Oreochromis niloticus: one gene and its partner. The protein of the gene in region 1 binds, or shares a complex with, the protein of each later gene. Links are inferred from orthologs where the notes say so. Each region holds a gene or a part of one and is shown on either strand. Other genes may lie near its edges.

What was found.
Region 2: the proteins of sin3b (region 1) and PHD finger protein 12 are in contact, whole or in part, in a cryo-EM structure (PDB 8BPA), measured with the Homo sapiens proteins. The link is inferred for Oreochromis niloticus from reciprocal best matches to the Homo sapiens genes SIN3B and PHF12. Residues at the interface, in NP_056075.1 of Homo sapiens: Glu307, Phe311, Leu318, Glu322, Val323, Tyr324, Glu325, Asn326, Leu328, Arg329, Cys330, Ile331, Leu333, Phe334, Asn335, Glu343, Leu347, Pro350, Phe351, Lys354, Phe365, Lys395, Arg396, Glu490, Glu493, Leu494, Val497, Tyr545, Arg546, Ile547; in NP_001028733.1 of Homo sapiens: Leu20, Met21, Gln23, Ile24, Gln25, Leu27, Leu28, Pro30, Pro31, Lys32, Thr33, Asn264, Leu266, Val267, Leu269, Val271, Val273, Phe275, Thr276, Asn278, Arg279, Ser280, Arg282, Cys292, Pro293, Leu294, Pro316, Asn317, His318, Ile319.

The regions. Positions count from the first base shown.
Region 1 is NC_031986.2:44,238,784-44,255,344, reverse strand, and holds the start of sin3b (paired amphipathic helix protein Sin3b), read left to right. Parts: upstream 1-8,143; 5' UTR 8,144-8,431; coding exon 8,432-8,542; intron 8,543-8,777; exon of another isoform or gene 8,778-9,093; coding exon of another isoform or gene 9,094-9,099; intron 9,100-9,680; coding exon 9,681-9,787; intron 9,788-10,413; coding exon 10,414-10,567; intron 10,568-11,606; coding exon 11,607-11,969; intron 11,970-12,110; coding exon 12,111-12,266; intron 12,267-12,595; coding exon 12,596-12,724; intron 12,725-13,436; coding exon 13,437-13,526; intron 13,527-13,692; coding exon 13,693-13,811; intron 13,812-14,082; coding exon 14,083-14,296; intron 14,297-16,518; coding exon 16,519-16,561. Other genes in the region: haus5 (HAUS augmin-like complex subunit 5), read left to right, coding at 248-345, 428-490, 688-720, 847-871, 997-1,120, 1,621-1,780, 1,872-1,965, 2,287-2,378 and 11 more.
Region 2 is NC_031979.2:4,232,311-4,248,960, reverse strand, and holds the start of PHD finger protein 12, read left to right. Parts: upstream 1-7,537; 5' UTR 7,538-8,204; coding exon 8,205-8,270; intron 8,271-8,523; coding exon 8,524-8,705; intron 8,706-11,049; coding exon 11,050-11,122; intron 11,123-13,411; coding exon 13,412-13,868; intron 13,869-13,989; coding exon 13,990-14,110; intron 14,111-14,199; coding exon 14,200-14,332; intron 14,333-14,446; coding exon 14,447-14,611; intron 14,612-14,900; coding exon 14,901-15,044; intron 15,045-15,600; coding exon 15,601-16,306; intron 16,307-16,650.

The DNA of each region.
Region 1 (16,561 bases):
GGAAATGCTGTTGACAGGCGGGAACTTGAAAGTTTGAGTAGGTTTAGGTTAAAAAATATTCCCGTGTGAGCACCGTAACCTGTTTTTATTGAATTAAAGAGGCATCTTTCGTGGGAGCACGGTAAGTTGGAGGGACATCTGTGAATTACGTGCACTCATTAAGCTAACTACGCTGGCTGATGATAATAGTCTCCTGTTGTTGTTTCTCGCTTTAGCTGTAGCTCGTTACCAGCTGTTATTTGTCAGGATGGCAGACAGAAATCTTGTTCAGGACTTGAAACGCTGGGCGACAGAGGAGTTTGGGCTGTCCCCGGACAGACTGCCTAATGACAGCTATTTTAAAACGTAGGTATCTACACTTATGTTACCTGTCATCAATGTTATTACCTAACTTTTTAGCCTTGAACTAATGTTGATTGTTTTCCAGACTCTGTGTTGGGACGGGGAAGTCGATATGGAAATATGTCATCCAGCATGTTTTCCAGCAAAGGTGAGACTTTGTTCTCGCTTGCTTTTTGTTTTTGTTTTTAAACCTTTTGATCACTAAATTATAACTAGAACACGGCTCATTTCCTGTCCTCAAACATTTACTCAGGACTCTGGTTCATTACAAAAGAAAAAACATTTGCATGAATGGCCTGTTTTCTAAAATAAACTGCAATCTCTGACTGATTTCTGTCTTTTTAGGAATGTGAGGATCATGCGTGGCAATCTTCAGTGGTATCCTTTTTGGTCTTGACTTGATCTGCAAAGCTTCCAGCTTCTTTCCAACAGACTTTCTTTGTTTTGTTTTCTTTGCCTTTCTTTGTTATTTATTTGCTCTGTTATCCTTGACATTGTTATTAGGTATAAATCGCTTCAAGACAAAGAGGTAGGCTGCAACTTATTTCTTTTCCCCAGCAGTTGTAATTTAGTTTAATTGTTAGTGATTGCACTTCACAAAGGGGAGTTTCTGTAAAAGCTATGTTTGTGTTTACTGGTGTGCGGTCTTGTCAGGCTGAGGGCCAGAGTGAGGCTGCAAAGCGTAAAGATCTCCAGAAGAAGATAGAGCAGCTGAAAGAAGAGATTAGTCACCTGGACTCTCAGATGAGCGTTACAGAGGAGCAGATGGCCACACAAGGTTAGTCCAACATATGTACTGTGGGCTGGACTTCCAGCCATCCCTCCATAATTTTCCTCCAGTCAGGGTTGTGAGGGGACTGGAGCCTATCCTGCTGAGTGACACGCAGTGCACATTAGACACTAACACAAAGACCGTGCATGTCTTTGGACTTGGCAGGACTCATTTGGGAATAACTGTGTTAACACAGTTTTGTTTTAAAACACCTATGAATTTGATGTGTTGTCACTACTTTGATTAGAGGCAAACATGTCTGATGTTGTGTATATGGTTTCTTTAAAAATGTACTGAGTTGCACCTTGTGATTGTTTTCTTATATAAAGATAAAATAATTAAAGTTAAAATGAGAGAAGTTCTGAAAAAATATCTTTTTCACACATTTCACATGGTGACAAGTTCAGCTCAAATATATTAGTTATACCACAAAGGGCTGAAAAGGTTTTTGTCTACTATTTTGCCATTTGCGTTTAATAGCTGCATTTTCTGCTGTGATTACACAGACAACTCTATCAGTCGAACCTGGGCCCAGGTGGAAGACGGCCAACGCAGAGAGCTGCTGCTTCAGGCTTTCAGGCAGCGCTGCATCTCAAGCCGCAAATATCTTTCTGATGATGTGCAACAGATCAGTGTGCACTGCCAGGCTCTGGAACAGATGGCCAGGTAAGGCAGAACATTTACTAATACATTTTAAGTGAAAAAGAGACGCAATACCTTTTACACATTTTTCTTTTTGTGTGTGTGTTTATTGCAGAAAAGCAGAAATTGAAGTGCTGTTTGATAAATCTTCTTGCAACAGAGACAATGACAACCTCAATGTCAAAGTGGCAACAGAGGCACAAGTTCTGGTAAAACATGCCCGAATCTGTGTTTTACTTAAGTTTAAAATTTAGAATGTTTATCAGACAGAAATAGCAAATACAGCCGCTTTGGAGGCTCTGTGTATAGCCGCTCTGTGTGTTTTCTATCCATCAGACAGACATTCAGACTTGGGGCCAATTTATAGTTACCAGTTAACCCAACATTACTTCACCTAACCTTACCTAATGTATGCTGGGAGAAATTTTAACATTCGCACAAATCTGGAATTAGTTGCTTACCGAGGCAACTGTAGCATATCAGCTGCTGACTTCATGAAATCATTCATTACCTTTGTTTTCTTTCTTTAGCGTGATGTGAGAGAGCTGTGTGACGACAGGGTCCACTTCTATCAGTCTTTACAAGAGTGTGAATCGAAAACACAGCACTCTGCAGCCACACAGTAAGGACCACAGACTGTACTCGATTTAAGTTATTCAGCTTTTAAAATGTATTTATTTTTGTGTTTGTTTGTTTTCCCTGTAGTATGACCCGTGAGCAGAGGACTGCTGTATTCCAGTACTGGCTGAGTGCTGTTGAGGTTGGTGTGTTTGTGTCTGATTTTACAAAATATTTTTGTATTTGTGTTAACATTGTCTTTAATTTTGACTTTGCATTAATATGCTGTTGCTTGTTGTGTCACCAGAACATGTTGGGTGCTTACCCTCCAAACCATGTTCTATCAGCGCTGCTGTATTTGGCTTCAAGAGAGCAGAAGGTATTGGAGGAGAAACTGTCGTCTCTGGACGTGACACGGGATGTAACAGCTCTGCAGTAAGGCAGTGATTGGGATCTTTCATTTCACGTCATGCTTCAAGATTTCCGATTTTCAGTGTAATGCATTTTTAAAATTTATTTGTTTTTTGGCATGCAGGTTCCGCTATGAAAGCGACCACCTTCTGGATATGTCAGCAGAAGAGGAAAATGAGTTACCACCAGTTAAAACCCTCTTAGAGGTGCGGTCACATTGCAGTATACCAACAGAAACGCAGATGAAACCATGTTCACACCCCCTGTTAACAGTTTACATATCAGGACATAATAAAAATAATCTGGTCCCTACCTGGTCTTAAAATGAGGTAAATACAAACGGAGACGAACAAGAGCACATGGCATATTAAACCATATCATTGTTGATTTAACAAAAACGAATCCAAAATGCAGAAACACTGTCAAAGGTTAAACACACCATATGATTCAATAGCTTGTAGAACTAAGCTTGTAGATACCAAGGGTATCATGAATAATCTTTCTCACTGTAGGATAATTGACTTTAAATTGTTTGGGAAGGGACTTATAAACCCTCATGGGTAGCAACAGTGGTGGCACATATTTGAACCGCAAAGTGCCAAAAGTTCTGCTTCTATAGTGGTGCTCACATTTGCTGATGATCAGTTAATGAAATATGCAGAAGCAGTAAGGGTGGACTTATTTTTCACACATTATGTCCTGATACATAAAATCGTGATCAAACCATGATCATCTCTTTCTTTTTCCTGGAATCTGCGATTGGTAACTTTTTATGCATGGACCCGCATGTGATTGTTGCTGCAGGCTGCGTGGGAAGAAGTGGAGCAGAGCTTGGTGGAACTGGCCCAGACTCGCTCCAGAGTCCAGCAGCTCAAAAACCAGCTGCAAACCCGTAAGAAGGACGCTGAGCTCGAGGTGTCCAGTATTAGAGATGAGCTCCAGGATGATTCCTTGGCACTGTAAGTTCATTCCAATTCAATCTCTGCCTTTGCCATGCATTTTGTTATTTTTTTTTTTGCAGTACTGCAACTTGGGAGTTGGGTTTCTGTGAGGGGGGAAAAAAAGGTCCAACAAACAGCCACTGTTATTGTTGTTTTTATCTGAACGATACAATTTTTCTGTTGTCAACTCAGTTTTAAACTTTGTATTTGCATCCTGTTTGAAAACAGCTATGTGAGTTCATTTTAATTAGTGGTAATATCTTTAGAGGCAATAATTTTGTCTTGTCTTCTACTTGTGCTTTTTATTTTCCTTGCGCTCTGAACTCTTAGATCAGCTCTTGAGGTGGAACTACAGTGTGTGATGCAGGCAGCTGCCAGGGATTATATCAGAGACCGCTGCATCCAACTTGACCAACATGCCCAAAGTCGACAGGAGGCGCTAAGAAGCCTTCGCAGCCAGTGGCAGAGCATACTGGACTTCAGACAACTAGTGGTGAGAGTTGACAGACAGTATTTTTGGATGAAATATTTTCTACATGTATTATATACTGTAGATCTTTGGTCTAGATGTCTTATGTTTGCTAGGTGTGAGAAGACTGACTTTTCGTCAGCATTTGTTACATCATAAAAATAATCATGTTCTGCTTTCTTGTCTTTACAGCTTCTCAGACAAGAGCAGATCAGAGGTCTGATTAAGGGGAACTCGACAGCAAAGACGCAGCTGATTCATCTTCACAGAGAGGTCAGGATCAATGACAGTGAAATATGTTTGATGAGAGGCTTCAGTCTGGGGTGAAAAACGAGAGTGACTAAAATTTAATTCTTATGTTTTTTTGTAGCACTCTGAGGATTTTAATCTTTGCGTTTTGTCTCAGTTAGAGGAATTCATCCAGGCAAAACTAATGCCACAATTTGAAGATGTGACCGCTGCAGCCAACAGTCTAAGGAACGCTGTGTCTAAGGAGGCCAGACAGATGGGAGCAGTTTCACTTCTTTCACTGGACCGCAGAACTATCGAAGGGTATGAGCATGTTGCTTGGTATCCCTATATTTGCCTCATTGGTGGTACATCTGTGGCCCCAGCTGCAGTGAATCAAAACAAAAACATATTTAATTGTTGTCCTTGTCCAGGGGTGACATTCACTGACCAGAAATATAATTCCATTTTGTTTTGTTTAGTATGCAACGAATTCCTGCATCATGGTTGTCCATCCATCGCTTGCAGTCCCCGACCTTCAGCAGCTTGTGTCAGAGTCTGGCATTCCCTCTGTACAAGGTGATTTTTGGCATATAGTGTGTAAAGTGTTGCAGTTTTACTGTTTTCTCTTTGATTCTGCTCACTCTCACAGTCATGTTTTGCTACGGTTGCAATCTGTTTATAATGATATGGTGATTAATTAGCGAAAATTGCAAATCTGTGTCCCTCCCTTACCATCTAAATACCACAGAAATTCATTTAATTACTTGCATTAAGAGCCCAGCCAGAACCTCATAGGTTTAAAACAAATTCTTTCACAAATGGGGACGTAGTTACTGCAGGTCAGCAGTTTATTGCAAATCGACAGGCAGTTAGAGTCTTCTCTTACAAATGAACGCTCTGCAGACGAGCTCTTCTCTTCAGCTGACTCCGAATGATTGCATCATTCAGGCAGACTGTCTGTGTTTGTAAATTAGACTGATTATTTGCAGACAACCTTTGCAGTCGCCTTGTGATTGAAGGTGGTCGCCAGAGTTTGAGAGTGTTGCATGCTCAAACTCAGGGCGTCCAGCTGGAGTCGGTTGCTTAACGCTAAAAAAAATTAAATGCAGTCACCGGGCAACCACTTCATTCTTCCTTCCTTCCTTTGCTGAAAGGAGGTTACTATGATGATCTTACTTTAGTGTGACTGAGTCATTTGCTTCAGTAAAAGTAGATGTCAGTCAGTGGAGCATTGTTCTGAACTGGTGACATCATGATTTTTGTGTTGTATTATTTTAAAATATTCAACTTGTAATTTCAGTCACTAAAACAGTTTATTCAGTCATGCTGCCTGGGTAATGGCCTCCAAAGAAATCTTCTAAAGGGACTTTGTGACCGTCTCACTATCCTAACATCACTTGTGTTTTCCTGTGGCTCTTTCTCAAATGATTTTCTACAAAATCAGTGTTTGCAGCCAACTCTTAAATGTGCCCTAAGTGATTGTAACGGACTGTCATTGATCGATGCTGAACCCCTCACAACCAGAGATGACAAAAATTGCATCTTTGAAAGCCAGTTTCACTGAGCAGAAGGAAAATAGAGTTACATATACCAAAGCTGCTGGGAGGTGTCCTTTTTCACTTTTTTATTTTTCCTCATATATTGCATACTAGTAACTTTTTTGACTTTCTCTGACTTTCACACCCAACTTCAGGCTCCGGAGGAGTTGTGTTCCCGATCTCGCTCACAACAGCTTGAGCTGCGTTTTCTCCGTCAGTTACTTCAGCTTCACTCTGCCACTCTGCAGAAGATAAAGAAGGAAGCGGATCAGCTGGAGGCATCTGATCAAAAAGGTAACCAGGAGAACTTATCAAGAGAGAAGCGTTTGCTTTAAACACAAATGAGGGCAGTGTTTGGTGTACACGTACTTAATATGTTAGGAAATTTCCACAAAAAATAAAATGCTCGGTGGATTTTTAGTAACATACTGCTGTCTGTCTGCACTCTTAGCTCTCCTGTCCAGAGTCATGGAGGAGGACCAAAAGCTTCTCAAGTCTTTGGTACCAAGAGTCAGAGGGCTCACTCACCGCTGTGCACAGGGCCTTTCTTATGGGGACCAAGTCAAAACTGCCATCTCTTATTGGTGAGACACAGTTCTTAAATCGATGACCTGTTATTATTATTATTTTAATTGCTGCTTAATCGAGATTTCTCCTTTCTAATCTGGGTGTATTTTTACAAATTGAGATCTGGGAATTACCTAGAGTGACACAGTTACCTGAACAACATCTGCAAGTGAATGGATGAGTTATCACTAAAAAAGCATGTTTTAAACACTCATTAGAACTACTTCCTGGTTTAACCTTTAGACAATACTAAGATTATTCGTGCACACTTTTGTATGTGTTTTTTCTTTCCAAATGTAAGTGATTTAGGCAGTTTTAATGATCTTTCATTGATTGTCTGACGAGGCTTTTGTTGCTGGAGTCCATTATGAAGAGATAAATGTACTTGCCATTTTTAACTGGTTACCATAATGTGATGGATAAATTACACCTGGTCAGTGATTCTGATTATTACTGACTGACTGACATCTCATTATTCCAGAGTGAATATACAGTCTTGGACTAAAACCTTTTTTTACTGGTGATCTTCTAGATTTTAGATTTTTTTGTAGAAAATGTAGAAGCTTAATCCAGGTACAGAAACTGGCTGATAGTGGTTTAATTCATCTAATTATAGTTTTGCAGCTCAATCTATTTAAAAAAAAAGAAAAGAAAAAAGACCAGCTTTCTTAATTCATTGGTAGTAAACTAAGTCTTAAACCTTACTGTTAACTTGCCTATCTACACACAGGTGATTACACCATTTGTAAATGACTTCATGGCTTGAATTTAACCCTGCCAAAACATTCATGCCAGTACATCTATCTGAGGCCAATATCTAACTGAATTTATTGGCTCTAATTATTTTCCATTCATGCCCTTGCTCAGTAGTCCAGCGTCTCATTCTCTGGTTAACTTCCCTGTTTTGTGTGTTGTAGGTGGGAAAGGCCAGCCCAGCATGTTCTTCCTGAGGTCAGTAAAGGAGGACTGACTTTTCAGCAGTGGTTACAAAGGTGGAAACTAGCAGCAAAGTCCCCATAGTTGAATACTATGATGGATTCCTTTCAGCACCTTTCAGTGGTAGAATGAACACTGTGTTGTAGATATTTAATGCACAAATGGTGTTTGTTTGTTTTTTCTCTCATTTGTCATCATTACTCCTAATGTCTTACCATGTGTAAATCAGTCACTAATAAACCCTTTTGAAGCGAAATATTTGTTCCTTTCTTCTTTGCGTCCTCATATCCATTGAAGTTGTTTAAAACTGCCTCTGGCTCCTGCGTTGGAAAACCAAGCTGAATCCATTGTGAATGCCCTCTGAATGAGCCGTAGGTGTCTATCAATAGCCCTGTATCGATCTTTCTCACAGTCGGCATTCGGTCCACCGTCGAGCTCGTATTCGTGGGCACCGTTGTGGAGTGTGCAACCATCCTTTGCATGGAGTAGCGCTGCTCCTTTGTAGCAGTGAAGGGGGAGTGGAGCAATCTGATTCTTGTGAACTCAGCTCCTCCCATCGCTGCGACTGCGCAGTTCAATTTTTCACTTTTTTTAATTTTTTTAATTTTTTTTTTCACTCCTACTCTGGCTTCCGGACGCCAAGACAGAGCGCTGCCGCCGAATTTAAAGAGACAGGCTTTAGTTTTTTTTAAATACGAAAAACGGTAACCATTGTCTCTGGGCTTATTTTCCGATACTTCTCGCCTGGGCTCGTTTAATTCGATGGTGATGTTTCATCAAAGTCACCGAGAGTAGCAGGTTGTCTGTCATCAACCTTCATTCTGCTGGATTTCCCGTCCTTTTTTTTTTTTTTTTTTTTTTGCCTCTGTACCTAGACTGTCCAGCTAGGCAGAGTAGGGTTGCTTGCTGGCAGGCTGGCTTCCCGACCGAGAGCAAGGTTTGTCGGCTAGCCAACAACTGGAGGTAACGCCGAAGCTTCCCTCAAGTTGTGGTAGCGGCTCTCGAGCCTCCTGTCGCCGGGATAATGGCGAAGATTCAGGCGCACAGCACCGCGAAGCAAATAAACCAAATTCAAGACAAGCCTTACGTTATAACACAAAAGCAAGTGCAGCAGCAGCACTTCCAGAAGCTGAAGGTAAGGAGACAACGGACATGACAAGGGAAAAGTGGCTGAGAGTCAGAACCATTTTGTTCGTCGGATCATTGCATTGGATTTGAGGCTTTTTTTTTCTCTTTCTCTCTACTGTCGTCGAGAGTAGTGAAAGGAACGGCTGGCTAACGTTAGTTAGCTCGCTGGCCTATTAAAAGTAATTCATTGCTAAACAGCCTAACGTTGACATTTAATGTTGGATTTAGAAGCTGTGTTTCGTTTAGTGTATGTGCGAGTGACAGTGGAGTGGCACAGTTAGTGGTACTTTCTCATTTGCCATATCAATAAGTGCTTCTGTGAGCAAACGTTAACTCAGACCTCGTTTGTGGGAAGTTCCTCCTTGTTCGTTTTTTCAGCCACCCCGAACAAAGTGGAGGACGTCAGCCAGGCTAGCCAAGAACGGCTATTTCACTTCATTAGCAGCTTCAGTACACGTTTCTTTGTTATAGTAGTGTTTTAATATGTCGTACTGTTTTTGCCAACGCGACACTGTTGGCCGGGGACCAGCTGTGACTAAACATATTGTATAAATTTGTATGCGGGTAGGTGTTGCAAGTGTTGGTGGAGTTATTATCGTCAGTCGACTGGCTAAACGTTAGCTACAACAACCCTCTTTAAGATGTGGACTATTTGTGACAATGGCTTGTGTGAAGACATTTTTTCCCCCTTTAGCGCAACCTAAACTAGCCTAGCTGTGGTAGCGAAAGAAAGCAGTGGAGTAATGAACAAAAGCTGCCTGGTGTCTCTTGTGTATGCCCAGTTATTTATTTATTTTAGCGTTAGTTGTACAGCTTGTACTGCTAACCAGAGGATTTGTTGATGTTGCACTTTGGCTGATAGTGAAGAAATCGGTCAGCATTCACGTAACTTCACGTATGCAGCACTGAGACAAATCTGTACGATGGGGCTACCTGTAATTTCATAGTACAAATCGCAAATAAATGCATTTATTAATAAATGCAAAACGTAGCATTTGAAATCTGTAAACAAGCTTTGTAGCTGTAAAATTATCTACCGTGAGCACCATGACTGGATGCTGGGGAAAATGCTGCTCCATACATCCAGCTGAGGCTGTCTGTGCTTTGCTCTGTACTGATTTTTCCTTCTTCTTCTCCATGTTTAGGTTGAAGATGCCTTGTCATATCTGGACCAAGTCAAAATTCGTTTTGCGAATGACCCTGGGATATATAACAAGTTTCTCGACATCATGAAGGAGTTCAAGTCGCAGAGGTATCATTGGGCATTTATGCAAACAAACCACAAGTAACTACTATACAGGGGCACACAGGGAACACAGGGAACACACTGATTTCTGTTGTGCAGTTTTTAAGGGAGGTGGTCCAGATCCACTTTAAAATACAGTGGGATCTTCATTTCCCCATACGCCACCAAGTGTTATGAAATTCAGCTTAATGGTTTTTGTATAATCTTGTGACCAACTGGCAGCTGTACCTCTGCTAAGGTGAAAACCAGAAGTAATAGGAGTTCTAGTAATGCATTCTTAATGACATACATTCCCATACATATTCTTTAGATGGTGATTGTGCTGCTTGTGTATGGAGTTTCATTACGTTGTGCAGTTTAATCCTTGACTAGTTCTGTTTCACAATCTGGAGTTTATCAGTGCATATGATACTGCACATAGCTTCTTACTATAATTATGCGACAGGTATTATTATCTTGAAATTAAACGAGGACTAAAAGCATTTCCTCTTTGCTTCTTTTTCTTTAAAGCTAACTTGTATAGCGCTTATTAATAACTTGTTTTCTGTTTGTGCTTTGTGGTGTTTGAGAGAAGTACTTAATCAGTGTTTCTCAACCAAACTTCTAAAGTATCCGTATGTCTTCTGAAATAGCATCGACACACCGGGAGTGATAAACCGTGTATCACAACTGTTTCATGGACACCCAGACCTCGTCTTGGGCTTCAATGCCTTCTTGCCACCGGGGTATCGGATAGAGGTCCCTAAGAATGGGATGGCTTTCCTTCAGTCTCCTTTCTCTGCACAGGTAAGATACTCTTTTTAAAGAAAAACATGCTTTCTGCTTTACTGATATCTGAATACAATGTACAGCAGGGTATGCTGACGGCATTATATGTTTAAGACCACAGAACATCTTAGGAGGAAACAGGTGTGCTTCTACTGCCCTGAACTTCAGCTGAATGATCTGCCTGAAAAAGCCCTCACGAAGGTTTCACTACAAAATGTGACAGCAGATTTGTCTGTCTGGTAGTTGAACAAAATTTCAGCTGGAGTTCTGCTTCTTCCTGTGCATGTTTGGCTGAAACAAGCACTTAAATCCCATCACAAAGAGCCAAATATATACAAGTTGTATATAAAAAGAATTTCAGAGATTAGGAATCTATGTTAGACTTTAAAAGAATTTTACGGTCTGATACAAAAATAACTACACTGAGGAATTTGTAATGATTTCACTCGGTGGCATTCAAAACCTATTTGGTCCGTGTCAGATTGAGTTAAACTTTTATATGTTTAAGCTCTTTCAGTTTCTGTGTACAATTTTATTATTTTAAAGTAAAAGCTGGGAACTAACTTCCAGTGATGTTTTGTTCTGAGAGATGGATCGTGCTTAGGTAGTGGATGGCAAGATAATGGGATTTGGGCAATCTTAGGTGTAATGTTAGTGTGACTTGGGATTTGCATCAGAACTACTTTCCTTTAATACTGAATTTAGATTACAAACACATTTATATAAACATCCAGTGACAGTCTGCATGATGCATGCTTTTCTTTTCTAAAACCTATGCAAGTTTAGGTAAGCTTTTTCTGTTAAATAATTTTTTTATATTTAGTGTTTTATGTTTACTGTGTACCTTTTGTCTACAATTACAATTGTTATTGTGTTATATAGAGTTTATACACTGCTAAGGGAGGGATTTAAAACAAACCCACAGAGCCAACGTATGTTTGAATGTTTAATATAAAGCACATTAAAGCTGGTGCTCCTGCACCAGCATATACAAACAGATATTTCTCCCCAAGTAGTAAATAAACGGTCTTTTTCTTAATGCATCTCTCGTGTGCAGGTATCCCCAAGCCCACAGGGGAAGAGTCCCGTCGCTCCTGCTGTTGCTGCGACCTCGGGTAGTGCCTCTTCCTCTCACTCTGAAGTGGGACCTGCCCAGACCAGTGAAGTCAAGGTGGCCACAACAGAGCCCCTGTCTTCGTCAGCAGCAGGACCTCCAGAGCCTCCCAGCAGACTTTCTCTTCCCCTGACCAGCAGAGAGAGCCAAAATCCAGCAGCCACCTCATCTGTGTCCCCGCCTGCCTCAGAGACGAGCCCCGTAGAATTTGATAGCGCCATCAGCTATGTCAACAAGATTAAAAACCGTTTCCTGGACCATCCAGAGATCTATAGAGCCTTCCTAGAAATTCTTCACACATATCAGGTACTGTAGAAGTAAGGCCATTAATACTGCATATTCATAGCATAAAAGGTGTAGGATTTTTATTTGCAGTTTCTGAGTTTTGTTTTTATTTTGTGTGTGTGTGTGTCCTATATCTATCTCTCCACCCCAACAACATTTCAGAAGGAACAGCTGGAGGTGAAGGAGAGTCGAGGCAGTCGAGGCAGCAGTGGGATGACAGAAGATGAGGTGTTTTCTAAAGTTGCCAGTCTCTTCAAGGGACAAGAAGACCTGCTGGCTGAGTTTGGACAATTCTTGCCCGATGCCAAGAGATCACTGGTGAGTTGAGCAGCAGTAGATGGATATTTCTGATGTTCCACTTTGGAAGCAGATGAAAATCTGCACAGTTTGAACAGAAACAATTTGCAGTTGGGCATGAAAGCAACATTTCTCATTTCCAGTTATTTTAACACAGTTTACAACAGTGACATTTTGTATATTTACTGCTCTGAAACGCCATCATGATAATATTCGCATATTCACAGTGAAGTGCCGCTTTTGAACAGCTGAATATATAACTTGTCAAAAACGTTTTTCTGTCAGTCGGTTCCCAAAGTCCCAAGAAGTACAACTGAGCTTTTTTTGTCCATGTGCCTCCTCTTCTGTAGTTCACAGGCAGTTCGCTCACCGGGGGGAAAGAGCAGCTGAAAAGGACAGAAGAAGAGGACATGATAACCAAACAGAACAAAAAGAGACCGAGGCCCATACTTCTCCAGCATATGTCCCCACTGCTCAAGGTAGGTTCTTCGCTCTTCAGCGGGTCAGTGAAAGAGACAAAAGCTGTGCATTATGAGCAAAAACAATAGGTCTGTTATATGCTAATTTTTTATGATTGTTTCTGCAACTTCATCATCTTGTGAAATAAGGTGTAAAATTTTGACGTATTCACGATTAATTAAAGAGAGAGAGAGAGATGGAGCTTTGAAAGAAACCATTCTTGTTACAGACACTACAGAACATCTGTTACCATTGTGGACTTTATATTTTATTTTATACTTTTTATTTATTTTTATTTTATTTTACTTTGGTAAATTTTCATATACAGATAAATAAGTATGTGTTAAGTAACACAGTAACAGTTTAATTGAAAACAACTTACTGAGTATCAGGTTTTTAAATCTGCAACATTATTGAGTCATTTCAATAAGTTAATGTGTTGCATGTAAGCAACATGATGTATGCCATTTACTGGACACTATGGACACTACAGCCTGCAACATACTGGACAAAATGTGTCTCAGAAACCTGTAACATAATTACCGAGTATTTGCATTCCTTTACTTCATTTCATCAGCACCAACTCATTTGCTAGAAAATAATTTTGTGTTGCACAAACAAACTTGTTTCTTTAAAAGTTTCAACAGCTGTTTGGGATTTTCCAAAAGCAGTCACAGACACTTTGATAATTAAAGTTTGTGATGTTCAGATTTTATTCTTTTCTTTATTTAGAAAAAAATGAAGTATTCCTGTACCAAAGATCAGTCCTTTGCTTCGGTTGGCAAACATGGAGTCTTAAGAGAATTTTCCTTCTTTGATAAGGTGAGGGATTATTCTTCTGGCCTGTAATTCTGGATTTTATTTATTTAATTTTTTATACTAAATTTTTAATCCCATAATGTTTCCTCTTTTTTTTTTTTTTTTTTTAAACAGAAACTTTTTTTAAAGTGATTGAGCGAATTTTATTGTCAACCCAACTGTCGTTTAGGTTCGTCGCCTGTTTAAAAGCCAGGAAGTATATGAGAACTTCCTGCGCTGCATCGCCTTGTTTAACCAAGAAGTTGTTTCAGGAGCTGAGCTGCTACAGCTTGTTACTCCTTTCTTGGGGTGAGTGGATGGAAAGAATTTTGAGATGGATAAAAAGAGACAAACTAATGTGGAAATGGTTTGTGATGCTAATATCCAGCGTTAGTGCAGCAAAGGGCAACAAATATTAAGACATTGTTTGTTTTTTTTGTTTTCAGATAGGACATTCAGGTCAACTTTACAAATTTGAAAGTTATCTCTAAATGGTCGTCACATGGCTTTTTATACTAGCCGAGAATACCAGATGTACTTCAATTATCTGTCATTAATAATTTTGTCCATATCCTTGCAGGAAGTTTCCTGAACTGTACACACAGTTCAAGTCATTTCTCGGGGACAAAGAGCTCTCTCATGCTGTGTCAGGGCTGTCGGATCGTTACATGGAGGGAGGAGGGGGCAGGGAGGTGGATTATGCCTCCTGCAAGCGCCTGGGGTCCAGCTATAGAGCACTGCCCAAGACCTACCAGCAGCCTAAATGCAGTGGGCGCACGGCCTTATGCAAGGAGGTATATCTACTTAGATTTTACCAAACAAAAATCACTGCATCATTTCATTGCTTAAAGTCATCTGTGTGCATTTTAGCCCCTTTCATCTGTTCCTTTATATTTGACAGCATCTTAACATGTTGGCTTGATGTCTGAATTTAAATGTTTATTTTCTTTCAACATAGCACAAGTTTGAACTGCATGCATAGAAACTGATGTATAGATACGCACAATATTATGATTCCTGTTATTTTTGCATGCCTCTTTTGTGCCTTTGTCCCTCGCTCAGCTCACCTAAGAATGTCATTGTTTTTGAGGACTCCCTAAACCTAACATAACATGAGGGGGTGGGCGAGGTTGCCACCTGAAGTTTCTGTCTCACACCTTCAGGCTGCCAAATATGAGGATGTCTCAAAGCTCTTCCTTTATGAAAACAGCTGCTGTGTATGTTAGTGAGCTCTTATGCACACAGGGCTGAATCTGGCTAACAAGTTTTTTTTCTTTTTTGTTTTTTTCCCCCACATTTATTTCATCATCAACCCTGGTTGATAAACATCAGAGTCCATAAGTTACAGCTTGCATGCTTTTAGCCGTTTGAGGTAAACGCGCAGGCTTTTACAAAATCACACTTCTTGAGTGTCGACTTTCCCTCTTTAAGTTTGTTTGACTTGAATATTAAATGACAAATTTGATCAACTTAACACTGAATCGTCCAAGCATAACGGCTCCTAACTCAAGTGATGAATCGGTGTTGTCTACACGTAACACTCAACTAATCAATTTAGTTTTCTAATCAGTTGTTTTTTAGAAAAATTTTACTATCACTATGTTTTAAAACCATGCCATTTTGAATCAGTATAATGCCAACAGTAACAGTTTGACAGGCATAAAATAATATTTCTAGGCCAGCAGATTGAGTCCTAAAAAGCTATTAGCAGAAACTTGTCATTTCTCAGCATGGTGTGCAGTGTGTCCTTAAAAAATTTGAGGGAACTGGAAAACCGGACAAGTGGCAGACAAAATAAGTGTCAAACCTAAAAAATTCTCTACAGCTGATGAACAGTATCTGAAAGTCATGTCCTTAAGAAATGGGGAAAATAAAATCCAGCAAAGACCTGATGTGGAATCTTTCAGTTGATCATCTAACCATATCCCTGATCAGTATCTAACAGGAAATAACACTGTATAAATAATTCCCTTTTCAAAACTCTGAATAACCACAGTGATGTACAAGACTCTGACCTCATATGTGACCTCATATGTCACTTTATGTATCACTGATGTAACGTTTTACAGATATAGTGAATATCTTGTGCTCCAGAGAGCCATCATTGCTCTCTTTCCGACTGTTGTGGGCGTGTCTGAATGAAGCTGCGAGTCAGTCTTCTCACATTTTCTCACACTTTATTGCCACCTGTATTTTAGTGAAATGGTGGGAAACCAACGGGGGAAAAGTGTGTTGCTTGTGCATGTGTTTCTGTCTCGAGTGCAAAGTACACAAAAACAGGAACTCACTTTTGAAAACGTTGAACCATAGCAAAAGGTTACACATTCAGTTAGGAGCACATGTATACACAGATGTACTGTTTGCTCAGCAGTATGCACATAGTGTGACCACCTAAGAGAAACTTTGGCCCTAATGCCATATTACGATTGTAATTTCAGAAGTGTCTGTTACTTAGCAGTCATCAGGAGCATGTTGAGGGGAAGAAATCCTAATTAATGGCCTAGTAGCTGTTAGTGGATTATGGTTATGCAGAATAAGATGAGTACAGTAAGGACAGGGAGACAGTATGTACCTTAAAGATGTTTTTCCTTTTCTCATAGAAAAGTTTCAAATAACAAAGGCAGCATATGTACAAGTAATCACTGAGGCTCAGCCTCCAGGCTGCTTTAAATCTTTCCTGCATGTTTTTCTTACTTCTGGCTCTGTTTGATGTCATAAAGAGAGCATAGCCCTAAAATATGCCTTCTTGATAAAGCATGCTGTCAGCATGGCCGCCTCGCGTACCCTCTCTTCAAATATTTTGGGTGTGAGGGGCACCCAATCAGTAGAAAGATGCCTTAAAGGGATCTGTGCTACAGCAGATTGATCAGGCGATGATATTGTAACTTAATTGTACTTTCTAAAGTCTAGAGTAAAAATATCAAGGTGTAAATGAGCATAAAAAGCAATCTTTAAAGTGTTACCACAGAAAAGTGTGTTGGCATGAAAACTTATGTTTTTATCTGTATGTGTACAGGTATTGAATGACACCTGGGTGTCTTTCCCCTCCTGGTCAGAAG
Region 2 (16,650 bases), on another chromosome or scaffold:
CCTCCATCAACGGAGACCTTGGTTGAGTCCTCGAGAGACCACTACTGTTGGCTGATTGGACCACTGCGGGCACAGACCCAGGCTTAGCAGGCGTTGCTGGACTGGTCTCATGTGCAGGAAAGCCAATGGGACCACCTGCACCATGGTATCCATAAGGCCCATGAGGCAGAAGTATAGGCCCCAGCTGACCCACTAGTGAAGTCTGAAGTGCTCTAGGCATCCCCTGAAGGTCTAGCGTCGCTCTGCAGTGAGGGACACAGAGGCCCTATGTCCAGACATAGGGCCTGGGAAGGCTGTAGCTTGCTCTTCTTGAGATTCAGGCGCAAGCCCAGAGCCTGAACATGTACATGAGCTAAGCTACATGACTGCAGGACTGTTGTTCTGATGTGGTGCAGACCAGCCAGTCGTGTAAGTAGTTAAAGACCCTGTGGCCCTGTATCCTCATAGAGGCAAGGACAGCATCCATGCATCACGTGAAGGTCCAGAGTGCAAGAGAGATGCCGAAGGGGAAAACTCAAACACCCAGTAAGTGACCTTCAGGTCAATGGTAGCAAACCAGTCCCCAACATTGATGGCCTGCTTCACCTTGGGGACCATCAGCATTTTGTATATCAGGGGACAAAGATAGCAGTTGAGGCCCCTGAGATCCAACATCGGGGAAACACCCCTCCCCGCTTGGGAACCAAAAAAGAGCGGGAAGGGAACCCAGCTTGGCAGTCCCCAGCATCCACCTCTGTATCCCATCTTTCTCCAGGAGGGCCGAGAGTTCTTCCTGCATTATCTGGGCCTGCTGGGAGTTGCTCACTAACGTAAAGGTCAGAATGGTTGTGATGGAGGGGGTGTCTGTGGAAGAACTGCAGGTGGTAGCCCTGGATCAACGACCAACCAACAAGGCAGACAGGGAAGGGGGCTGGCCGGTCTGCCCTCCGGAAAGGTCAAGATGGAGGGGGATGGCTGGAGGACAGTCGAGCCTTGGCTGCACGTCCTGTCTGTTTCCCCTACATGTTGGTGCTATGTCTACGCAAAGCTGCCAGCTGAGGCCTGGTATCCCCAGGGCCCCATGCTGCATCAGGAGCAGGCTGGGGCGCAGCAACCCTGGGCATCCATGCACTTGCAGAGCGCCTGAGCAGGCCCCTTGACAACTCCTGAGCAACACAGCAACTGTCTCGAGCGTGTGAGCCATGTTCTGTGTGCAGAACATGGCTGCGGGGTCAACAGGCAGCCTCTTTAGACATTCCTGGTTGTCCCACTGGAGCTGTGACTGAAACAGTCAGAGATGCTGCCGCACCACCCAGATGAGGCCAAGGCACTACTTGTGGTGATGACCTGCTCTTTCATGCATGCTAGAGGACTTTCTGCAGGCGATGGACCACCTGTACAAAGCAGCCGGGGCATCAAACTGCCTGCACACCAGGTCCTTAAAATCAGGCAGCAGTAGCACCTGCAGCTGAGAGCACCGTGGCTGTGTGATGTCTTCAAACCTGGAGGCCACTGCCACAGGGTTCTCAGGGAAGGCAATATCCAGAGCCCTGGATGCCCTGCCCATCATCTCAAAAATTTGGCAATATGAAACAGTCTATGCAAGATTGTGGAGCTTCCCTGGCCAGCATAGCATGTTGGTAGCCCAAACACAGCATACATCTACCATTTCCGTGCTACAGAGACATAGAGATGCCGTGTCCCACACATTTATCACCCATATGAACTGCCATACTCACATGGGATGGATGCAGCCGTAACCCGCAAACCAGAAGACAGTACACACAAACACATACTCTGGTTTCCCCTGTCTCAACGGGTAAGCCCCCAGCTGGAGCTCAAATAATTGCCGGTTTCATGTCTGCACAGTTCTTTTATGCCTAATGTGGCAGTAGTATGCAGACAGGTCCTGGAGTATGAAGGAATTAATGCCACTGACTGGTCCCTGCGTCGGCCTGACTTAAATTCAGTAGAACTCTGGGATGTTATGTTTTGGTCCATCTGACACCACAAGGTTGCACTTCACATTTGTATACAAACTACCAAGTACCACTTTGAGTTGCAACAGAGAAATTTCAGCAAATTATTCTGGCAAATCATTTTTTTCAGCCCTCTATAGGTCTTTTTTTCATCCTTTCAGTCCTAACATATTACCCAGTCCATAGTATAGATCATCAGCACAATTACCCAGTTAGTGTAGGTTTTTGTTTGCTGTGCTGCTGGAAGAGGCCACTAGTGTGCCACAAAACTTACAAAAAAACAGGCTGTACTAAAGCCTGACTATTCTTGCAATGATTGTAGCCTTGCTGCTTAATGGTCATTCATCACAGTTACATTATTTCATCCCGCAGTCCGAAAACATGCATGTTATACTAGTTATCCATCCCTTATTTATTCCATAATTCGGTCCAACATCTTTGTACTCTGCACCAGAAAGAAAGAAATATAAATAAATAATAAATAAATAAATACATTATTATTGTCATGTTGTCTGTCATGTTGTCATGTTGATATCTTGTTGTCAGTATTGTCTGTCAATAGCAAAGAAATAGTCAGAACCCATTTTTTTTTATGTGTACACATACTTGGTCAATAAAGCTGATTCTGATGTAAATGGTTGTCTTCCTCTGTTAGCCCTGAGACACACTGGTGACTTGTCCAGGATTATACCCTACAACAGTGGGCAGATGGATGGGTTGATGGGTGGATCTGATTATTTATGTGCATGTAAACACCCACACTGGCTGACACACAGAGCATAGTTGGTGCAATGGAGCAGGAGATTACTTTATCAGTCTAGTTCCGAGGCTTTGCTCAGTGTGCATATCTCTGATTACTTTAGCAATTTAGGACATTTAGGTATCTTGCACATGGACCTTTCCACAGCTGGAGAAACAACCTAGCAAATTATCCTTTTGTAGGAGGAATTAAGAATAGAGAGGCATTTACCAGTTCTAGCAGCAAAAAATAATAAGTGTCACACCAATCCCCAAAAGCCTGGATGAGCCTGACCAAGAGTCCGAATTCTTGGTATTATCAGCTGACTGAAACTTGGACCATAGATAAAATATAAAACATGCATGTAGCCATAACTCATGTTTACTAAGCTCAAACAACTAGGGAGCCCAGGGCTGTTTTCCCATAGAAAATCTGGAGTCTTTTTCCAGCCACAGGGGTTGCTCTCTCCTGGCCTTTTAAAAAAAAAGAGAAAGCAGATTTCAGGTATTTCCACTTTGGCTTCTCTTTTCAAACCTGGAAAAGTAAAGTATCTTCTCCAAGTATAAAAAATATGTTTTGATTTTCATTTAAATATATTACATTCCTTAAGGAATCACAACCCTATATATAGGGGCGATTGTGGCTCAAGAGTTGGGAGTTCGCCTTGTAATTGGAAGGTTGCCGGTTCGAGCCCCGGCTCGGACAGTCTCGGTCGTTGTGTCCTTGGGCAAGACACTTCACCCGTTGCCTACTGGTGGTGGTCAGAGGGCCCGGTGGCGCGAGTGTCCGGCAGCCTCGCCTCTGTCAGTGCGCCCCAGGGTGGTTGTGGCTACAACGTAGCTTGCCATCACCAGTGTGTGAATGTGTGGGTGAATGACTGGATATGTAAAGCGCTTTGGGGTCCTTAGGGACCATAAAAGCGCTATATAAATACAGGCCATTTACCATATAGAGAGAGGAAAATATATGTGTGCAATTTTTTTTAAACCCTTAGAAATTCTCTTACTCTAATACTGTTAAAATACAATACTCTCAAAAATATCTTAAAATAAACACAGTAATTTAGTGATTTAGCACAACAGGATACATTTATCACAATATAATACTTCATAATTACAACCTTACAAGTCTCCTTCATCAGAAAAATGACTTAAAGTCAGCAACTAAATATTTTTTAAGGGCTTTTACAAATGTGATCAAAATATGTAGATTTTAAAAAAGACTCAGCTTTAAAAAATATTAACTGAAAATTCATTTTGTAAAAAAGATTTTTCATTTTCAACATTCTTGTACTACATATTAATGTACATATTAACATATGCACTAAAATGTTCAATAAACTGTAACCTGGTGAGTGGTCATGCTGGACATGTGTATAACATGTGATGGCTAGTAACATTACTGGAACACGGGACTACATTTCTAAAATGCAATGTCATATATCTCTGTGCACAAAATCACATTAGCTAACTACCAGTATTTTGCCAGCTACTCAAATACAACTGAGCAGTGCCTCCCTCTGCTGGCGAGGGTTAGCAATTACCCATCATTCATGGTAATTCTGTCCACTATACATTAAAATTGCAAACATTTCCCCTCTCCAAGGCAACCATTTTTAGGTTTTAGAATCAGCCCCATTAAAAAAACAGCCAATATGGGTAATGAACCACACAACTGAAGAAAACAAAAAAGGAAATCAAGAATTAGAAAAAAAACAGGTATCAAAAGTACAAGTTTAGGATAAAGGACTAATTAGAACTTTGTCTCAATTAGCACATCCATTGTTGCTACAAATCCCAAGAGACAAGACAGTGTGCAGGTCTGTTACAGTGCTAACACAAAGAGATGGGCAACACAACCAGTCGCACTAACATTTACACCTATCAATCTACCTATTTTACATATACCCATATTTATATACACACACACACGGTGCTAGGTTAAGTGATTCTAAATTGCTCAGACACTTCTCCACAAGGTACGTTGACTCAAGTATTTTACAATTTTGAGCTACTTTTTCTGCAACAATCTCTCCACATGTTTCAGAGGTAAATATTGCCATTGTATTCTGCTCCATTTCTTTTCTCACAGCTTTATTTATTTCCTACAGTGCACTTAATGAACAAGTGCTGTTTTACTGGTTATGAACATACAATTTTTCCAATTTTCTTAAGATATATATATATAAAAAAAGCCCTTCTTAGATTTGCTAGAAAATGTCAAAGAGTTGAAGGCAAAAGTATGAGCTTACTGAACTTTTTAAATATATATGATTCTTAGAGCAGAATAATGCTACATTACCATATAGAATATGATGCATAGCTCTAGAGTAAACAATCTAAGTTAAATATAATGCAACATGCACATTAATTTTGCAGTAATATCAATTTAAATACATTAGATATGAAAAGAAACATTTTTCTGCACAATGAGTACTAACATGCAATTTTCTGATAACTGCCCAGTGTCACCGGGTATTGGCAAGATATGCACAACATAGAGTGCCACCTTCATCATTCCTGTTCAACTTGTGCATCTCAGGCTTTCGGTACAACTCTGGGTCAAAGAACTACTCTGACAGTTCTACGGTGATTGGATGTATATGTGATGGACAGGAGCAGGAGGATGATTTTGTGGAGTCGTCTGGAAGAAATCATCTCTGAGTAAGACCAGAGATCATCAACTACAGAAGGAAGAAAACAACTACAGCCTGTGCCTATCCAGGATTTTAATGTGGTGGAGAAGTACAAGTACCTGGGTGCCCACACTGACAACACGGTGAAGTAGAAGACCAACAATTAGCTAGCCAGTTTTAATGTTCTTCTTTTGTTGTTGCTTTTGTTTTGAAAGGAAAATTCTAAAGAAGCCAATTGAGGTGGTTTGGGCATCTGACTAGGATGCCTCCTGGACACTTCCTATAGGTGAGGTATTCTGGGCAGTGGACTCAGTGGAGAGATCACACATCTCTGCAGGCCTGGAATGTCTCAGTATTCCCCGGATGAGGGGAGACACCCCGGATGGAAGAAGTGGTTGTTGTGAGGAAAATCTGGGCTTCTCTGCTTAGACTGCTGCTCTTGCAACATGAACCTGAATAAACAGCAGAAAATTAATGAATGAATGGACATTTTTACTAATTAAAGTTATACTTATTTTACTTTATTGTGCCTAATTTTATTTTCGACTAGTTATTATTGCTGTTAATTGTTAAGATTTTATTAAGCTGGACACCACTCTACTTATTTAAGTTATTTAGGTTTGTTTGATTTAAGTCAAACATCAACTACTGTAACACAAGAATTTCCCAGTTCTGGGATAAATGATCTAAATCTATCTTTACCTTAATATCTAAATACTTCTATTTTACTGAGACTTAAATGCAGGACCTTTACTTGCTGTGGATGTGGTGATCATGCGCCTACTTTAAGTGGGCCTGCACAGCATTTTTATTCCTTGTCTACCAGTCCCATGTATTGATGCAATGCCCCACATTTTAATGTGCTCTAGTTTGCAATAGAGAACACCAAGATGAAAAAGTGTGGCTCAAAACTGATGTGCTATAAGTGCTCTGCAAGAGCAGAAAAGTGCTGCATAGCAATCAGTCCATTTACCAAGAATCAGTCCATGTGCTGACCTATGGATTAATTGCTATTAAAACTGAAACAGACAGTTTGGCTGCTAAAGTATATTTAAACAGTTTTAATACTTAATACTTTAATACTTAATATGATAGACATGGTTCCACAAAAAAAGAGATCATACCTTCTATTTTAAGTTTGGAAATTTTCATTCACATAAATGGCAGTATATTTGTCCTTCACATAACTGATGCCAAACTGTTAACTAGCATTGTTTTTTGTTTCCAGATTTAGTTTTCATCACCTCTCAGCATTAGTAAGGTGTCACACACACATATTGTTTACCCTACATTTGGTGTTTCGAGATCTGGTCAGACTCTATAGTTGGTGTGATCTGGTTAACAAAAACCCGATAAACCTGCTATAAATACAAATTGTATTTAAGTGAGAAATTACATTATTTATGTGCTAGATGGAAAATACGGGAATTAGGGCTTCATAAATTCTTAAATAAATCTTTGGTTTAAGAGAATATAGAGGTGGATTATTGATTTGTTAATGTTTTGGATGTCTTTGTTTTCTAGTGATCTGTGCATTACTTCAGCGTTTCACTTTGCACAGTCTGGTCCTCTCTTAATTAAAGAATGTGTTTCAGACTTCAGCAGACTAATCCAGTGAGGACTTTGACTGCAAAATAGACAATGCCCTCTGTCAGAAAAGTCTGATTGGTAGAAGGATAACTAAGCGCTTTGATGACAGTGACAGCTGGTGTGATTTGGTGCTATATAATTAAAACTAAATTGATCTGAATTGAACATTTCTGTTAGAATAACTGACTTGCCGTCATCCAGCTGGGATAGGCTCCAGCCACCCCGCGATAAGGATAAGCGGAAGAGAATGGATGGATGGACTTGCTGTCTACATAGACTACATGTTGAAATAGACTACATGTTGAGCAAGCGGAAGAAGAATTAAGATGGTAATTTGAGCAGCTGAAACGCTATTGTAGCAGAAGTGCAAATTGCATGAGTAGTGTTCATAAACAAACAATAAAGCAATTGAAGCAAGGAGCAGTTAATGCTACTCGCGGTAGCAGCACAAGTACGTGTGCACAATAGTAATGAGTAGTGCTATAAGGTAATCTACAGGGAAAGTCATAGCAAAAAAAATAACTTCAAAACGTCAGTTCCAGTCAAAAACACCGTGTAGATAATGTTTTACCGGTTCGTTATAGTGTATCCGAAATTATCTATATCCGTTCCAATACGCATGCGTGTCCGGTGTGCGCGGTTGCGCCAACTGTAAGGATGTTGCTAGCAGCCAGTATAGATGCACAGCCTTTTCACAACAATAACATCAACCAAATTTGCATTTCCACATACTTGATTTGAGGATTATACATTCCGGACGCTGTCGGAAACCAGGTTTTGGGCCGTACTACACCTAGTTTTCTCCTGGATTGTTTGGTTACATTTTGTTTTGACAATGGGAGCGGGGGGCTTTGCAGATTTACAGCGCTCCTTTTTGCAGGAGCAGAAACAAGAATCATGGCTGGCCAGCTAGGCCGCAGATGGATTGTGTAGCTAAGAGCAGTAGTCTACTGTTAGAAAATTCTGTATGTTTTCGTGGCACTTACACATAAAAAGTGGTGCTAAGGAATCAGTATTTTAACTACATAGTTAGACGTCATTTTTGTTACCTTTTTATGGCCAACTACGGCAGCTAGTGAGACCGCTAGCTTCACAACCTTGACTGGTTGACGTTTGCCTAGCTAGCTCCTTTGGGCAGCTAACGATAGCTAACGTCGATTTACCAGACATCCTCTCACCGAAATCATTCGGGAAGTAATTTCTTACAGGATTTATCGTGGTTATTGTGAGCACCGAGGCACTTGGTTCGCAAATTCCTTTTGCAAAGTCTGTTTCTGGATGAATGTGGGACAAAATGGAGACCCCAACGATTGTGTACGATTTGGATACCTCTGGGGGCTTAATGGAGGTAAGGCTGCTATGTCTAAGGCCTTAATTAAGCGAAACATTCCTCTGTTGCTAGCACTTTAATATATTTTACCAAATTTGAATCGCAGCTGTCATCATCACTATAGCCCGCTGTCAAGCGCTTAGCTAGCTAATTCGGCTTGGTAACGGAGGCCACAAATTACTGTTACCGCTCTCTATAAACGTCACAGCGGACACTAGACAAGCAAAGGACAGCCGCGATGTCGCACTAAACAGCTGAACAACTTTTTCAGCAAATTCAAACACTGCTGGCGCCCCCGAAGTCAGAAGAGGTAGAGAAACGGAGTCGGAAACTGGTGAGGGACGTCCGGAGGAGCGGCAGGGCGACTAACCACGACACCTGCGATAGTTGCAGGGAAGGGGGAGACTTGCTGTGTTGTGACCACTGTCCTGCAGCTTTCCATCTCCAGTGCTGGTAAGTTATTTGACTAAAAAACACGTAGAGAATTGATGAAACAAGCGGAAACAACTAAGAGTCCCCGTCAGTTATATGTGTAAGATGGCTGAATGCTAACTCAAGTGATTGTCCTCGGTTACCGTTTCTCGGTGGTTCCGATTCCCGTAGACACATGATTTGAAATGTGTAAAGAAATAATCTGTTAAATGATTTCATTTTGCCTCATAGTTTTTTCGCTACAAAAGCTCACGCTTATATCAATGAAAAGTCAACTTTAACCATCAATTGTTCTTCCGAAATTCCCGCTGTGTTCTCCGTTCACGTTAACCATGGAGGCCGGCTTGAAGCCGCTGTGTTGCCCTCTGTAAGGTTTATTATTAACTCCCATTTTCCCTGGAAACTGCTTGCATGTCGAATTTACTTGCAGACGTTTTCAGAATCTCAGGAAATAAAGCAGTTGAAGTTAATTAAAAGACGTTTGGTGATCTAAGATAGCAACTGATAATTTAAGTAACAGACCAGAATGTTTTCTTGCTCTGGGAGGACTGTGCACCGTTATACCAGTCGTCTATCTTATATACTGACTTTTGGACTTTATAGAGTTTGAAAGTGTATAGCAAACTTATTTTCACGCGTCGCTAATGAAATTATAACATACAGGAGTTAAAATAAATGCTTAAATATGTCGTGTCTGCAAGAGGCTAGAATTAGCTTGCAGTCGGTCCTCCCCTCCTGCCGAGGCTGCAACCAGCGGAGCTGCTGGTAAAAATGTAGCCTCTGTTTACAATATGGCGACCTCGCTGCTCTTTCCCCCCTTCTTCCACCGCCATCTTACAAACCTTTAAAATCAACTCTGATGGAAAAGGGGTGCATTAATAATACGGACGAAATATTCCGCAGTTTTTTTGGACGGGTATAACAGCGTTTGTTGAGGTATTTTCGGTGCCACAGCGATAAATAAATACCCGTCTCATTTTTTCTGTATTACTACTTTTACAGACTGTCACCTGAAAACCGTATAAAACCCGTCTGTACATATATAGCCAAACGTGTGGACGCCTTCAGATTTTGAATATGTATTCATGAATTTTGCTGCTCTAATGTCTATAATGTAAAAGACAGTGTTACATGGCGTGACAGTTCAGTTGTCCCATGCACAGTGCATCTCACATGTGACCACTTCAAACACAAAAGCATCATTAAAAAAACTTTTTTCATTTTTTTAAATCTGTGGAGAAATTTATTATTGTTGTCATTTTACTGGATATGTATTGTATGTCTTAAGTCCAGTTAATTTTAATGTTAAATTCTGCAATTATGAATTCATATACCAGATGCATCAGGGGGAAAAAAGAAGTTTAAAGTTGACTAGAAACTATAGAAACAAACAGCCAATAGAAATGAATAAATTGTTAAAATAGACAAATAATAATGAATCAAAAGAAAAAGTAGTTAAATACGCTTACTACAAGCAAACTAATGGTATGCATCCATCCAGCCATTCTCTTCCACTTATCCTCGTCAGGGTCGCTAGGGGAGCTGAAGCCTATGACAGCTACCATAGGGCGAGAGGCAGAGTACACCCTGGACAGTTGGCCAGTCTGTCGCACGGCGAACACGTAGAGACGAACAACCATTCACACTCAAATTCACACCTATGGGCAATTTAGAATCATCAATTTACCCAACCTTGCTAACTGCATGTCTTTGGACTGTGGGAGGAAGACGGAGTACCCAGAGAGAACCCACGCGAACATGGGGAGAACATGCAAACTCCACACAGAAAGGCCTGGCCAGGTGGTAGAATCAAACTAAGGATCTCCTTGCTGTGAGGCAACGGTGCTAATCACTGCACCACCATGGTTAAAAATGCAAGTTAAAAAGAAAGGAGTAACAAAGCATAATGGATAGATGGTTCAGTTTGGTCACTAAGTGTAATTTTATGAATAACTGTTAAACGAATGGTGGTTGTAAGTAGCAGATGAGTGATGGAAATACCAAGGTAACAGTTAACCAGACATAATTTTAAAAAATGATAAGGTGAAATGAGGTGGATCTGACGAAGTCTTCTTGAATGTGGGCAGTATGTAGTGTAAAACATTGGGAACAATTGATTATTAATGAATGTGTCAGCTACTGTAATGAAAGTATAACATTGAAAACTGCCATTATTTTGCACTGTATGGATGTTTTTATTGTAATGCAGCCATTGGCCCACCAGATGGAGACAGAAGAAACTAGACTTTTGTTTTGATGCCAAAACAATGGGATCAAATCAGTTTTTCATTTGAATGAAATGGGAATTAGAAATTATGATTCATTTTCTGTTATTAAATATTTAATTTCTGTCTTCTTACGACAGCAACCCACCTCTGAGTGAAGAAATGCTTCCTCCAGGGGAATGGATGTGTCATCGCTGCAATGTTCGGAAGAAGGTGAGTGACAGATGTTCTGTTACACATTTGATTCATTCTGCTTTTGAAATGTATCCCGAAGAGTGTGTTCTATGTACTGATAAATTGGACCAATTCAATTTTATTTATACAGCGCCAAATCACAATAATATTTTACCCTACAATAATACATACAGAGAAAAACTCAACAATCATTTGACCCCCTATCAGCAAGCACTTTGGCAACAGTGGGAAGGAAAAACTCCCTTTTAACAGGAAGAAACCTCCAGCACAACAAGGCTGAGGGAGGGGTGGCCATCTGCCGCGACACATAGTGAGTGAGAAAGGTGACTGAAGAAAAAATACTACCCCAGCAGTCTACACCTATTGCAGCATAACTAAGGGAGTATTGAGGGTCAACTGATCCAGCCCTAACTATATGCTTTTACATATGCTGTATGTGAGGAGCAGGATTTTGAATTCAATTCTGGATTTAACAGGGAGCCAATGGAGGGAAGCCAATATAGGAGAAATCTGCTCTCTCTTTCTTGTCCCTGTCAGTACTCTTGCTGCAGTATTTTGGATTAATTGAAGGCTTTTCAGGGAGTTTTTGGACAATCCCGATAATAATGAATTACAATAGTCCAGCCTAGAAGTAATAAATGCATGAAGTAGTTTATCAGCGCCACTCTGAGACAGGATATTTCTTATTTTAGAAATATTACGCAAAGATTAGAATTGGACGAAGTCAGTCCTAGATATTTGTTTAATATGTGCATTGAAGGTCCTGGTCAAAAATGACTCCAGGGTTCCTCACAGTGTTACTGGAGGCCAAGGTAATGCCATCCAGAGTAAGAATCTGCTTAGATACCATATTTCTAAGATTTTCAGAGCCAAGTACAATAACCTCAGTTTGATCTGAATTTAGAAGCAGAAAGTTAGCGGCCATCCAGGTCTTTATGTCTTTAAGACATTCCTGCAGTTTAACTAATTGGTGTGTGTGTTATCTGGCTTTCTGAATAAATAAAGTTGGGTGTCCTCTGCATAGTAGTGCAAATGTATGCTGTGCCTTCTGATGATACTACCTAAGGGAAGCATTTAAAATATAAACAGAATTGGTCCTAGCATATCCATAATTAACCTTAGTGTGTGAAGAGGACTCTCCATTTACACGAACAAATTGGAGTCTATTAGATAGATATGATACAAACTAGGGCTGCCACAAACGATTATTTTGATAGTCGACTAGTCACCGATAATTTTTGCGATTAGTTGACTAATCAGATCATGCATCCACTGCACGTAAAACGTACAGCTTATTGCACCAGCATGCGTCTGCTCTCATATAAACTATCATTATCTTACAGCTTGAAGTGTTTAAGGTATGCGCTAACTAAAAATAAAGACAAGATGATAGTTTATTAAACTTTTAATGAAATTTGCAGATTGTCTCAGTGGAGTTTAATAAACTCAGCCGTCTGCTCCTTGCTATCTAAAGTATAACAGGACATTGGAGTAAATTCTACCATCTCACACTTTTGTTTAATCCGTTTTCTGTTTGATGTTTATTCAGCTGTGTGAAAAAACTTTAATCTCAGGCAAACCGATTTACTCAGGAACAAATCAAACACTGAAAAAAGCCAAACAATAACATTTTAAAGTTATCAAAGTGACTTATATATCGTGTTTAACCTGAGTAGCGAAAGACAGCGGGGATCTGAAAACAATGTGCCAGGACTGCTTCTTCTTCTTCAGGGTTTAACGGCAGCTGGCATCCTTGTACATGCAGTGCTGCCATCTTCTGTTTCAGTCCGTTATTACACTCTTAAATCCTACTACTTATTCCAGCGTCTTTCGGGATCTTACAAAGCTTCAAACGACGCGTCGACTATTAAATTAGTCGTCGACGATCGTCGACGTAATTGTGACTAGCCGACAAATCGTGGCAGCCGTAATACAAACCACTGCAGAAGTAAATACCTACAGCATGCTCTAATCGCTTTAATGAAATATTATGGTCAACAGTATTCAACGTTGCACTGAGGTCTAGCAAGACAAGCACAGAGATGAGTCCACTGTCAGAGGCCATAAGAAGATCATGCGTAACCTTCACTAAAGCTGTTTCTGTGCTGTGATTGGTCTGAAATCTGACTGAAAGTGTTCAAATAAGCCATTCCCCTGCAGATGATCTGTTAGCTTTTTTAAAATTATTTTTTCAACAATTTTGAGATAAAAGGAAGGTTGGAGATTGGCCTCTAACTAGCTAAGACAGCAGGGTCAAGAGATGGTGTTTTAAATCAGTGTTTGGGTTTTGTGTGCGAATATGTACAGAAAAGAGAACAGAAGTCTGAACAGACCAACGGCCTGCCAGAGAAATCCTCCTCCAAGCGGTGCGCTTCTCCGGCCGTGGAGCTGGAGCTCAACGCTGGCCCGCTGCGGCTTGATGGTCTACCTCCAGGGGCTGGAGCTGCAGGCCCTGGTCTACGAGTGGCCCAGGTACGATTGTTGGACCGCAGAACCAGCAGCAGGCCAAGCAGCCGACCTGGGACTCCAAATTCCAACACTTCATCCACCCCAACCCCCTCAGAGGAGCAGAACGATGGAGAGGAGGAGGCAGCAGAGCCTGAGGATGAAGTTCAGGGTGCAGAGCTCGAGAGTTCTACAGTTTCTGCTCCGACACCGCGACTCCTCAAGAGGCCCTTTCAGCTCCTAATAGCGGCTGCTATGGAGAGAAACCCCACTCAATTTCAGCTGCCGAGTGAGCTCACCTGCACCACTGCACTACCAGGTCAGTCAGTCATAATGACTAACAAAATATGATTTCATTCAGCGCCCTAAGTTTAAAATACCTCTTTATATATGCAGTTTGGGCCGTTTCTTAAATGTTGCTCTTTTGTTTGGATTTCTAGGCAGCAGTAAACGGAGGAAAAAAGAAGAGCTGCTTGGAAAGCCATTCAGGAGGCCTCAGCATGAACTGGATCCCAATGGTCTAGTCCCTTTGCCAGTCAAAATCTGCTTTTCATGCAACAGGTCAGGAGTTCTGGAGCACAGTGCAAAGAAGTAGACGAAGCCCCGAAGCGATGACAGCAGGTACTAATTCTATTTATTTGGTCTCTCAGGAGTTGCAGGTTGGCTCCGCTGATCCAGTGCGATTACTGTCCCCTCCTGTTCCACATGGACTGTCTGGACCCTCCACTCACAGCTTTACCTGCCGGCAAATGGATGTGTCCAAACCATGTCGAGCACTTAGTAGTAAGATGCGCTGTGCTGATTCTAAGCTAAAGCTGCTTTCCTTTTCCTTTTATTGACATAAATTTTTATTAATATATTTTTCTGTTTTATCTCAAATGTTTGTTTGCTGTGCAGCTGAATCAGAGGAGCCTCAGCCTGTCCAGCCGCTGTCAGCTCTTCGATCAGTTCCAGGACAGGATGTCCCAGCACGCAGTTAAGTTGGACTTCCTGCGTAGAGTACATCGGCAGAATGCTCCAAACCGGCGCACCACTCACCAGCGCAACAAGAAAACCATCAAGGTAGACCTGTGTCTCAGTGTGACGGTGCAGTGTGTTGGATTTCATATAATCCTTTTTTCTTGGCCACTGGAACACAGGTGGAGATCTAGGAAATTGATGACTTTAATAATATATCTGTTTCACTAAGACAGTAATACCTAGATACTGACAGCCATAAATTTAAGCAGTTGTGCACTTGTATGTGAACTGACCTTTGTGAGTTAGATGCTATTCTTAGAAACATCTGAACATAGTGGCTAATTTGCTAGAAAGTGTTAGATTGTCTCTAACAATCAGTGTTTTTATTCAGGTGCCAGATGCCATCAAGTCCCAGTACCAGAATCCTCCGCCCATGCTGCTTCCTGCAGGGGTGCGCCAGCTGGAGCTGGTCTGCAGTGGCATTCCTGACCATCAGCCCACAAAGCATTTCACCACAGAGGCTGAGCAGCAGGAGGTAGGCACAAGAGAAACCAGCAGCTGCCTAACATGTTCTTTAAGTCCGATTGTAATGATAGTTCCCTGAAGCAGGCTTCTGTGTGCTAAAATCTGTATCATCTGATGTAATCGAATGTGAGATTAATAGGAGTGTAGTTTAAAGATGATTGATCGCTTTCCTTTTCATTTTGGATTACTATGAAGAGAGTTTGGACAAGAAGTTTTTTGAGAGTTAGATTTTTGGTGTAGATAAATGAAACACTGACACATCCTGTGTACTGTGTTTATCAGAAAATAACAGAAAATTCAGTTTCAGAAGTTGTGAAAGCTGAACCAACTGCTTCACTACACTTCCAAACCTTCACATTGCAACAGTTGCATTAAAAAGTCTGTTTTGTTTCACAGACTGTGTAGACTGTAGAGCTTTGAGTAATTAATTGAAAATTGCAGCAAAAGACAAATTCTGGTATCTGTTTGTTCGAGTGATATAAATGAATTCTTGATGAAGAGGAGGGCCTCTCAACAGACCTGCTGGTTGCTTCTTTATAATAACATACATGTGTTGTGTTGAACAGTGGCTTCAGGATGTCATCGCTCTCCAGTGCAGTATCATGCGACACCTATCCATCAAACAGAAGGCCTCATCAACAGAGTGGGACTTTGAACAGAAAGCAAATACACAATCAAGTGGACCATCAGAGGACATGAAAACTCAGGCCTCATTAGAAAGGACTTCTTCCCCTGATGCCTGCTCTAAAGCTTGCAGTACACCCAGTGACTCCCAGGGGGCCTCTCTTTCCAAGGACAGCCCATCAGGGCTAGTTCTTTGCAAATGCACCGTGACACCATGTCAGAACTGTAGGAAACCTAATGGACCTCTGGAATTGGTTCAGCCTCCCAGAGCCAATGGACCTGTAGACTGTAACAGTGCCTCAGATTCCTGCAGGCAGGCTGAGCTACAGAACAGACTGAAGCCTGGGAAAACGCCATCAGACTCAGCTTCTGCCTCTGCACTGGTGAACCACATAGGAACAGAAATGGTTAAGAAGGAACCCGAGAGCTCTGTAAATGCATGTGCTCAACAGAACTGCCCCACTGCCCCCACGATATGGCCCCACAGTGGCCATCAGAACCACAGGAGCCAGACAGAGCCCCAGGAGGAGTGTATGAGCACCGATGAAAAGCCCTCCTTCTCAATCACCAGCAGTTCCTTCACAGATGCACCATCTAGAGGCAGCCAGGAGCACGACTCAGTGAAGTTTGGTTCAGCACCTACTCCAGGTACACATCAGAAATGTCAAAGCTGCAGTCTTAATGTTTCACTTTATACAGCTAATGATAATAATAATAATAATTTATTTTAATAATACTTTAAAGTGTAAGAGATAATGTACAGTAGCTATAGTGATTATGAGGGCCCCACCCTGGAGCCAGGCCTGGGGAGGGAGCTCAAAGGAGTCTAACCAGAGACTGTTTTAGCCCATGCAGCCTGGCTGTGTACAGGCTAAAGAGATGATATGGGCCCACCCCCCATGTGCTCACCATTTGGAGGAGGTGTTGTGGGGGTTTTGTGCAATGTGTGTCAGTTGGCAGTAAATGGGTGCCATGGGGTCTATGAGAGAACA